Linked DNA regions of Oryzias latipes. The protein of the gene in region 2 purifies or fractionates together with the protein of the main gene of each other region. This does not show direct contact. Links are inferred from orthologs where the notes say so. Each region holds a gene or a part of one and is shown on either strand. Other genes may lie near its edges.

Region 1 (3,971 bases), on a different chromosome or scaffold from region 2:
TGAACTTATTGCAGATTACGAGCAAAATGAAGAGTTCCTGAAGAAAGTACACAGAGTGCTGTTGGAGGTATGTGACAGACTGCAGAGTCAGGGGGGTATTCCAGAAAGCAGGTTATGTGAGTTACCACGATAATTTTGAGGCTAAGGAAGTTGATAACCTCAGCTTTCGGTTCCAAAAATGGAGGTATGTTTCAGGGTCAAGTTGCCATAGCAACTCATGCGCTGAACATAGCCTGGTCTGGAGCAGGTTTAGTTGAAGGTTAGTTTGTTTTCAGAGAGGTGAAGCAGCATGCCGTGTCCATTTGAAGATGATTTAGATAATAATACTTTTTCCACCATGAGAGGGTGATAAGACCACATATGGATGTTGGAAATATAAACTTTTACTTTGATCTAACTTAATTATTTGCTTCAGCTAAGATAAATCATTTTTTGAGTTCAGTTCACTTAAAAATAACACATAGTTTTCAGACAGTTATGTTACTTTCATTCAAATTAATTCAATTAAGTAAGTGTAACTTTGGTGCTGCTGTTAGATCGGCACCGCAAGGAATTGTGGGAAACCATTCCCTTTGTCTGTCTGGACGGATTTAGGTTTAAGTGTGGGTTTTTGACCAAATGTGTTTAGTTGTTTAGCTGTTTTACTGTGTTTTGCCGAGTTATTTTATCCTCTTATGCGTGTTATGTTTAATTCTTTCTGCAACACGAGTGAGAGAGAGGGAGAGGATGATGAGGTTATGTAGCTTATTTAGCACAAGCAGTGCTGACTTGTGTCAAAACGTTAAGTTAAAGTCAGAGTCATGATAAATGATTAGATGTCGTAATTTTCAAGTCCACACTGTATCAATTATTTCAATGTTATAAAAATGAAAATATCTGCAGCCTCGAACTTAGACATATGAGAGTTCCAGAAGTACAAGAAATTAAGATGGAAAAACATTTAATTGAATTCGATTATTATGACATTTAGTTAGATAAATATGTAAATTTTATTTGTATATTTTAGTTTTATAAACAATTGTTGAGTTGGATAGACATAAATATATATATATTTCCCTTAAGAGCATTTTGCGTCACAATGAAAATAGAAATGAGATAGAAACTCGTGCATTTACTTTGTCCGTTCTTTTTCTCCAAGCAGAAACTTTCTTTTGCTGATGATGCAGCCGTGTTACTTTTTTGATGGTCTTATAATCTTCATACGCCGTCATTAAAATCTCAGACTCGGCCTCACTAAAGTACAGCGCTCTCTTTTGTGACTCCGGAAATCGGCGATCCATTGACAATGTCTTTATGTACTTGCCGTGCACGTGCATTAACCAAGTCGAGCGTAACTCATATTCGGTCTTTTGGAACCCACATACCCAGAGTACTGTAAGCAAGTTCAGGCGGATTTCAGCCAGAGTTCAGGGTTAAAGTCAGGGTAGTTTAAAAATGCTTTCTGGAATACCCCCTAGGAGTCTCTAAACCTGATCCCAGTGAGCTATTGCCCTGCTTGTTTCGCAGCTAACCCCTGCTTCAGTATTTGTGATTAGCTGGATTGAAGGAGCCCAGTTTCTGATTGACTGAACAAACCTGATCAGTCAGCAGTTATGCTGACTGTCCTCTACTTTTCCTTCTGCGCTGCAAAACTGTAAACACCGTCTGGTCTGAAGTCTAAGCAGCATCAAAGCCAGTAGTGACGATGAAAGAGGGTAATCTACTGCAGTGTATTTCAACCAGTGTGCCGTAGGAAATTGCCCTCATTAACTGATCTAAAAACATTTTTCATCTCCAGGAAATCAGCTCTTTTTTCATCCAAACAGGCCCTGATAAAACACTGAGTAGTTAGGAATATAAAAGATCTTAAAATTACTTTTTCTTTGTGTTTATTTAATTCTATTAAAGACATTTTGATAAGAATGACTGTACTGCGATTTACCTGCAGCTATGACAGTTTGCGGAAAAGTCCCGCCCATTTAACTGTCTCCGCCAATCATTCTTGAAGGCTTAATCACATGTCATCAGTCTGACCAATCAGAAGTGCTTAAAGTCTTCACTTCCTTGTTCTTAATTCTGCTGATAAAGTCGCTCAGTTCTAACAAAAGTACCAGCTAAAGCTCGTCTTTAGCGGTGTAGCTTTCCACAGAGTCCGGTGTCAGACCGTGGAACAAGTGAACAAAACAATGAAGCTCAGAGACACGAGTCTTTCTGCAATTTTTCGGCAGTTTTCACACTACATCTCCCATGATGCATTGGCTTAAAGGGCCAGTGTCCCAGCGCACAACGAGTTGTCCTTGTGAAACGTCTTGAAACCACAACAAACAAACAGTTTCTTAATTTTCTAATATAACTTTCATTTCATCTCTTAGAAAAAAACAGCCGCAACTTCCTGCTCTTCCGGCAAAAATGCACGTGAGATTGCGGGGGGGGGGGGCTCAAAAAAAGTGTGCCGTGGCTCAAAAAAGGTTGAAAAACACTGATCTACTGAACGTGTCTCACTTTCTCCCAGAGTTACCTGCTTTATGCTTTTGACAGATGAGCCTGCTTCATGCATGTCACATTAAACAAAACAACCTATTTAAAGTCCAACTCGGTTTATCTCTTAATCTATTTTAAAGCGTTCACAGTGTCCGTTTAATTATAATTGTGCCATTTTTCAGCAAAATTAATAAACCTGTAGTTTTCTAGAACATAGTTTCTGCAGAACGGCAGGAGTTCATTAGAAATTCACCACTTAAATTGTGTGTGTGTGTGGGGGGGGCTGTTGGTGCAGAGTAAGCCTACCCCCACTTCCTATTATCCATCTGTTTTTACACTTACACACTAGTTTACAGTCCCTCACAACCCAAACCTATAGTGAGCAATATTGACACTATCCAGCTTTGAGGCAGATTCCAGCTCAGACGAGGATAAAGAAGTACATGGATCTGTTCGTCTGCAAGTGGATGCTTCAGAATGGAGTATAGCAGGGAGCTTGTGGCCTACTGGTTGTAGTTTCTAAATTACAGCTACATTTTTCCTTTGTTCTCCGCTCCGCCTCACAGGTGGAGGTGATGGAGGGATGTCTAAAGTGTCCTGAATCAGGACGGGAGTTCCCGATCACCAAAGGAATCCCCAACATGCTGCTGAACGAGGATGATGCCTAAGATCTCTGTATCTGCAGACCAAACCTTTCCCCCCGTTAAGACTGTGTGCAGAGAAACAGACCACTCTGTTATTAGTTGATAGTGCTTTTAGCATTTCAAGTGTCAGATACCCAAAGAGATGCTGAAAAAACCCATCTGGAAATGTTTGAACAAAGTGAACCCTTTTTGATTTTATCTGTATTTATTTTTATAACTTGTTTTTCTTAATAAAACTGTCCAGATTTTCCTCACAGCTGCAATCTGTGGTGTTTTTTTTCCATTTAAAAAAAAAAAAAAAAAAAAGGAGCTGTTTGTGCTGCAGGCGAGCCAAAGAGGTGGGCTCTGAACTGAATCGGTCCTCTCTGAGCCTGATGACGTGGCTGCAGGCTGCCTGCATTTGGCTTTAAGCAGAAGGAGGCAGGCAGGGTGGAAGTTGTTTTGGAGGAAGTTTTTTTTTTTTTTTTTTTTTTCTTAAAGCCACACATTACAGCTTTTCTTTTCACCCAGTCTGGGTGGGATCCAGTGATTTGAGATGCACCATGGTGTGTCTGATTACTCTTAAGCTTGAGGACAGATTGTGGTTTGGTCCATGCTGATAAATTAAGTGTTTTCTCCACGTTCTGCAGCAGGGGTGGAACAAAAGTCTGTTTGCTTGCAGTTATCATTTTTAGAAACTCTGCCAGAACCAGTGATGAAAGGGGGTGGGAGGAGGGGGGTTTGACCAGAAGCCTGGAGGCAGCCTGAGTGTTTCCTACCTTTTCCTTCTACTTAGAGCAATTACAGGCCTGCACCCGCAGCTATAATAACGGTATAATGGTATGGCAGCAGAGCAGCAATAAAAGCCACCCCTGGTAGATTAATAGT
Region 2 (2,469 bases):
ATGTGTACTGAGGGGATTTACAGCCTTAAAACATCTATACCATGTTGAGGATTTCACCTATCACGAGGTTGTTTGTTCTAGAATGTAACTCCCGTGGTAAATGAGGGAACACTACTTTTGTTTTTTCTACATATTTTTGTGTGGCTGATTTCCATATCTATCTATAAATGTAGGTTGAAGAGGAGCTTTTCCTAAACTTGGACTTGGACAAAAACTGAAGCTGAATGCAGATTTTTTTTGTTCTTCTGACAGATGTAAAGCATGCGTTCCGAAAAACACCCCCCAGGTCCGGGCGTCAGTCGAAGCACGTTCAGTCGTACGTGTTTCTGATGAAGCCAGACCAAAAGAATAGAAAAAGGGCCGTTGTTCTGACTGAGTTCAGAACTCTCAGGCAGATTTTCCTCCCTTTCACATTCTGTGGTTCAGGCGTTCAGTTTGGTAACAGGTGAAGGATTCTAACTGCCTGCAATTTATTTATTTATTTTTGTTTTTGTGAAGGTGTCGATTTAAAAATATGAAAGGAAAATCAGTGAAGAAGGGACGAGATTGGATCTTGGAGAAAAAGGAGAGAAGAAGAAGACAGGGAAGGTATGATCAGTAGAGCATTTTGAACCTTTACACGGTAGATGTTTGTGTAACAGAAACATGTGAAAGCTCCACCTTTATGTGGCTGACAGCCTGCTCTGTGTTGTTGGACCTGCAGGGAGGTTCGAGCGGATACAAAGTACACCGGTCGTCAGCGGAGACCTCACTTCTAGCTCTGACTCATGCAGCTCATGCCGTCATCATCTCTGGTCTGAACCAGCACACGCACGGTCAACGCTGGAGCCTGATTGCACTTTTCTACTCTGTTGAGTCAAGTGGATGAGGTGCAAACATGAGATGCTGTTATAGCCAATCAGCTTCTTATTTGTTCAAGTGATTGGCAATTTGTTTCTCCCAAATTGGGTGAGATTTAACTCTGTTTGGATTTAACAGGTGTACGTGTCAAAACTGAGCTGTGAAATCAAAAGGGTTTATAATAATAATTATGAAATATTCAATTCTTCTTTTAGTTTCATAGACTCAAACCATTTTTGTCTTTTAAATTGATAAACCAAAAAAGATGAAGATATTTTGACTGCTTACTTGAGGATGAGACCCACTTGATTTCTTCACTAAGAAAAAGCAGAGCTCAAATGTCACCAGCTGCAATTCAGAACAGAGAAAAGTTTGATAGATTTTGAAACAACACACAGACATCGATGAAATCAAACTTTATTTATAAAGCACTTGTACAAAAAGTGCTTTATTTATAAAGCACTTTTTGTACAATAGGCTTAAAACAATTAGAAGCCAAATTACAATTACTAGACTACAGAAACCCTCAATACTCCATGACTTACTTTTTGGTGCAGTGAAGCCATGGATGACTAATAAAACCAAATAATTTGTGTAAACAGTTGGCTAAGATATTGTCTTTTGTGTAAATGAAACAAAACGGATACCCTTAAGAGTTACTAGTGCAAATAGGCACACATGCGCGCTAATGCAGAGTTGGCGATTGGTAAAAGTGAGACAAAGAGATCACAAATATGAACGTGGACGTAGAGGCATTCGACAAATTTTTAAATCATTTCCAATTTGTTAAAAACAAAGGCAAAAATGTTTTCAGTTAACTGCAAGTTATGTCCTGGAGATGAAATGCTTTCCATTGCCCTAGTGTCAATGAGCAACCTATATCTATACACTATGTAGGCTCCTATTCAATGTACATTTTTTCATGCTCGTGTTGAAGTTAACGAGGTGGTGCTAAATAAAACCCTTGTGTAGCCTTTAGGGTTTTATTTAGTGGATTTTACAAGGGTATCTTGTTTGTGCGTGCTTTATTTCCTTAATAATTTTATGTGAGTGGGAAAAAAGTAAAGTAACGAGTAGTGACATTTTAAATTGAGGAATGAGTAAATTAATTACAATTTCATCCACTTAAGTAAAGTAATCAAGTAATTTACCCAACACTGACGGACACATGAATAAAACTAAATGGGAATAGAACCAAAGTGGAAATCTGGATTGATGCTGATGTGAGGAACTGGTATCGAAGACAGTAGCCACACACAGGAGGTCCCACTGCATGAGGAAAATGAAGTTTTAAAAATATACGCTCACTTACTGCGACTTATAACGTTCTGACACCTTAACAGGACATAACTGACCCTCCTTACCAGTTTATTGGGTCTGTATTGTTTTCTTTTGCAACATTCTCCTATTGAGAATTAAGGAAACATATACAATACCCTGCAATGACTCTTATGATTAGGTTTACGTGTTTTCTTGTGAAAATATTTGATGATAAAAATAATTTTCATTTTTGCAAGTTAAAATAAGAGGGAGTCTGTATTTTTGACATTTCTAACCATTAGATTTTGGTCAGTTCCAGTGTGTGTCGGCAGAGGTCGCTGTTTGCCTGAGCTCACTGTAAACCACTTG
Region 3 (3,654 bases), on a different chromosome or scaffold from region 2:
CGGGATGTTCGAATCGGAGCGAAGCTTTGGCGTTGCGCCGACGCCGCTGCCCCACATCCGGATACACGGGGTCGCAGCGAGAGCGGAGGAGGAGGAGGAGGATGATAGAAAGCACGACGCGAGCTCAAAGATCTGAGATCAAGAACAATTCAAGTAAGGCAACATGTTGACATGATGGAATGGATGCTGTGGTGGTGGTACAGTGATGAGGGCTCAGCTCCAGGTGATGCAAAGCTTCACTGTCAAAACCAGCACTGAAAACCTGAAACGGCCTAAAAGTCCCATGAAGAGACACCAGCCGCTTCCTGCGGAGCCGCCGTCAAAAGTCCCGCCCTCCTGAGGTGATCTGTAAACGTCAGTGCAAATGGAGAGTGGAAGAAGTGGCGGCGCCGCTGCGGTTGGCAATTTTACTCACATTCAGCCTGATCTCATTAGAAACTCTGTTTTCAGGCAGAAAAATACCAGCGGATTCATGAAAAAGAGTCCTCCTGGCCGCCCCGTCCAGCTGCCGGGGGAGCAGAAGGAACGTGGGCGGTGCTACAGATCGGCGTGGGACCCCTGCTCGCAGGGTGGAGGAGGCTGAAGCTTGCTCAGACATGGAGGGGGGAGGCTCATGGTACGGGATCTTCCAGTCACTCCAGAGCAGCTCCCGAAGCCCGTCTTGGTTCCGGCAGGTCCAAGTTGGAGGTCCAGCGACCCCCGTTTATCAGTCACAGTCGTCGGAGGGGTCACTGAAGGAGAAGAGAGGACGTTACCACCGAGCAGAGCGGCCGCCGTGCCGCCCAGAGGAATTATGGGAGGCAAAGGCAGCAGGAGCAGTGAGGACGAGAATAAAGATGGAAAGGGCACGAATGCGGGCAGCGCAGACCCCCCCGCCTCCGTCGCCACCCATGGATCCTCCCCCATGGCTTGAGGCAGATGAGAAGGCAGAAAAGAAGGAGCGAAGGAGTGCAGAAGTGTCGGGGGGAAGGCGGGGAGGCACTTACTTGTCCTCTGCGTTCTCGGGGAAGCCGGCGGCGGCCAGCGCAGCGCGGTACTGCAGCAGCACCCCCCGCACGCTCTTCACAAACCCCTTAGAGAGCGGGAAGAGCGGGAAGCCGATGTCGGGGTAACCGCTGCCCTCGGGGAGGAAACTCCGGTAGCTCTTCCTCCGTTTCTTTGGTCGCACCGTCGGCTGGCTTCCTGCAGACGCCACTCCCCCAGCGGGGCCCGAGCCCGCCTCCGAGGCGCCGCTCCGGACCGCCGCCTTGCTGTCCGCAGACAGGTAGCTGCTCCCCTGGGTGCTTTCGTAGTCCGAGGTGTGGCTGAGCTCCTGCTGAGCCGCGGGGCAGGAACTCTGCCACGAGTCCTCCAGCTCCTCCTCTATGATGCTGCTCACGCCGGCGCCAGACAGCGCCTCCCCCCCGAGCTTGCTGGGGCTGCTGTGGGCCACGGGGACGGACCCCGCGGGCAGCTGCTCCTCCACGGATGAAGCTCTGTCCCTAAAGTGGTGACTCCTGCAGGACGAGTGGCTCCTCTCCGCAGCCTCGTTCAGCTCAAGCCACGCCTCCAGGCGGTGCACCAGCCGCCAGCCGCTGGACACAAAGTGGTCCCGGATCTCCTGCCTGAAGACCTCCACGGGGTTCTGGAGGAGCTGCGTCATGGACTGAACCATCTTGATCAGAGCCATCTCGTTGTAGCAGCGGCTGTTCTCGTAGCCCTCCTGCAGACCTCGGTCGCTGTCGAAGCCGGCCTCGTTGTAGTACGGCTCGTTGACCAGAATGAGGCCTACGCACACGCACGCACACACACAAACACACACAAACACACACATGCATGAGACTCCAGAACGGCTCCAAAAGCAGAGTGTGGAGTGCGGCTAACCTTGTATGGAGATGAGGACCTGCAGCAGGCTGGACTTGCTGGTCCACCTCTCTGTGCCCTGAAACGCAGCACCCACAAAGCCGTCAGGGTGGGTTCAGAGGAGGAGCTACGAAGACCCCCCCTCCCCCCGCGCGCTCACCTTGCCGATCCAGGTGCCGAGCAGGCTGACGCAGACCTTGCCGTTGTCGTAGAGGTTGGGGTTGAGGCGCCCGCTGCACTGGGACAGGTACTGGAAAAGGGGCGGCACAGCGGGGTAGATGTTGGGCAGCTGGATGTCGAACAGGAAGACGCCGTCCTCGTACGGCGTCCGGGTCGGCCCTTTGATCAGAGCTGAAAACAGGTCCTGCACCGCGGAAAGAAATGAACCGAGCGACTGATTGTCATGGAAGATGTGCAAGTGGTTCTCCAGACTTAAAATAATCAAAAAGGTAAAAACAAGACGTCTAAATCTGAATCATGTTAACCCTTCAACACCTGAGCTTTAGCTCCAGCGTTAACGTGTTTTGAATGACCGTAGCTCTTCATCTGTTGACGCCATTGACGTTATTTCAACAGAATCTGAAAGAGTAAATGAGGATAATCCATCCATCCATCCATCCATCTTCCTCCGCTCATCTGGGTTGGGGTCATGGGGCAGCAGTCTAAACAAAGATGCCCAGACTTCCCTCTCCTCCCGAGGTGTTCCCTGTCAAGCAGGGAGACCTAGTCTACCAGCGTGTCCTGGGTCTTCCCGGGGCCTCCTCCCAGTGGGACATGCCCAGAACACCTCCCCAGGGAGGCATCCAGACCAGATGCCCAAGCCACCTCTCCTGCTCTCAGCCCCCCTACGGAGGACCTGGTTCTTTGGGTCATGACCCCAGAGCTCATGGCTATAGGTGAGAACTGGAACGAAGGGGAAATTCAGAGTTATGCTTTCTGGCTCAGCTCTCTCTTCCTCAACAACAGACTGACGCCAAACCATTCTGCCCGTCAATCTCATCTCTTCATGCTTGACCCCCCCACACACACACGGGGCAGGAACGCCCCACCCCCCCACAGAGGATAAACTAACTTTCTGCATTAAACTGGCCTCAGACTCGGCCACAGAATCCACTGGAATTACAGTAATAGCGGAAACGGCTAAATCTAGCTCGAATAGCGTGTCACTTCATGTCACCGACGACGTTTCCGGTGTTAAAGGGTTAAACCAGATTATTATACAAGTTATTTACATGCTGGAACATTAGAATCAAATCATTTTTCTAGCTAAAGACACACATCAGTTGCACCCAAACCATCACTCTCCCACCACTATGCCTGACAGTTAATATAAGGTTTTCTTTTGCGATACCAGAACGGTAAAGACGCCCACCATGCGGTCCTCAAAGGTTTTGACCATGATGCCGTCTGGCAGCGACGTCGCCAGCAGAGCCATTTCCTTCCTCACAGTGCTGAAAAACTTCTTCGCCTCCGCCGGCTGGAACTCCATCTTCTTGAAGGAGTGCGTTTCTGTTGGAGAAGAAAAATAACGATCAGGCAGATCCGGTTTTTGGTGGGAGAGTCCGACCTTACCAGAGAACCCACGGGCGGGTTTGACCAACTGTTTCATTCACTGAGATCAGAGCAGAATGAATAAACCCAGTTTATCTTCTCTGGTTTTGGTAAAAACCCTCAGCTGCTCACCTGGAGCCCACTCCAGCACTGAGAACACCTCCCCCTTGGCGCTGGTGAAGGTGACGCCCGGCTTCCCTCCGCTCTGCTGGCACAGCACAGGCGTGTCGCTGAGGAACTCGCTGGGCCATTCCTGTCCTC

What was found.
Region 1: the proteins of bud23 (region 2) and trmt112 purify together in Homo sapiens (affinity purification with mass spectrometry; 5 studies listed by BioGRID and IntAct, counting the BioPlex papers as one, with this or other methods). This does not show direct contact. The link is inferred for Oryzias latipes from reciprocal best matches to the Homo sapiens genes BUD23 and TRMT112.
Region 3: the proteins of bud23 (region 2) and ube2o purify together in Homo sapiens (affinity purification with mass spectrometry; 5 studies listed by BioGRID and IntAct, counting the BioPlex papers as one, with this or other methods). This does not show direct contact. The link is inferred for Oryzias latipes from reciprocal best matches to the Homo sapiens genes BUD23 and UBE2O.

What each region holds. Positions count from the first base shown.
Region 1 is NC_019868.2:11,958,292-11,962,262, reverse strand, and holds the end of trmt112 (multifunctional methyltransferase subunit TRM112-like protein), read left to right. Parts: coding exon 1-67; intron 68-3,026; coding exon 3,027-3,128; 3' UTR 3,129-3,365; downstream 3,366-3,971. UniProt on the Homo sapiens protein: Acts as an activator of both rRNA/tRNA and protein methyltransferases. Together with methyltransferase BUD23, methylates the N(7) position of a guanine in 18S rRNA.
Region 2 is NC_019871.2:13,769,275-13,771,743, reverse strand, and holds the end of bud23 (probable 18S rRNA (guanine-N(7))-methyltransferase), read left to right. Parts: intron 1-498; coding exon 499-588; intron 589-703; coding exon 704-758; 3' UTR 759-1,843; downstream 1,844-2,469.
Region 3 is NC_019859.2:3,047,368-3,051,021, forward strand, and holds part of ube2o ((E3-independent) E2 ubiquitin-conjugating enzyme), read right to left. Parts: coding exon 3,526-3,654; intron 3,352-3,525; coding exon 3,215-3,351; intron 2,207-3,214; coding exon 2,003-2,206; intron 1,922-2,002; coding exon 1,864-1,921; intron 1,768-1,863; coding exon 987-1,767; coding exon of another isoform or gene 983-986; exon of another isoform or gene 732-982; coding exon 707-731; 3' UTR 1-706. UniProt on the Homo sapiens protein: E2/E3 hybrid ubiquitin-protein ligase that displays both E2 and E3 ligase activities and mediates monoubiquitination of target proteins. Negatively regulates TRAF6-mediated NF-kappa-B activation independently of its E2 activity.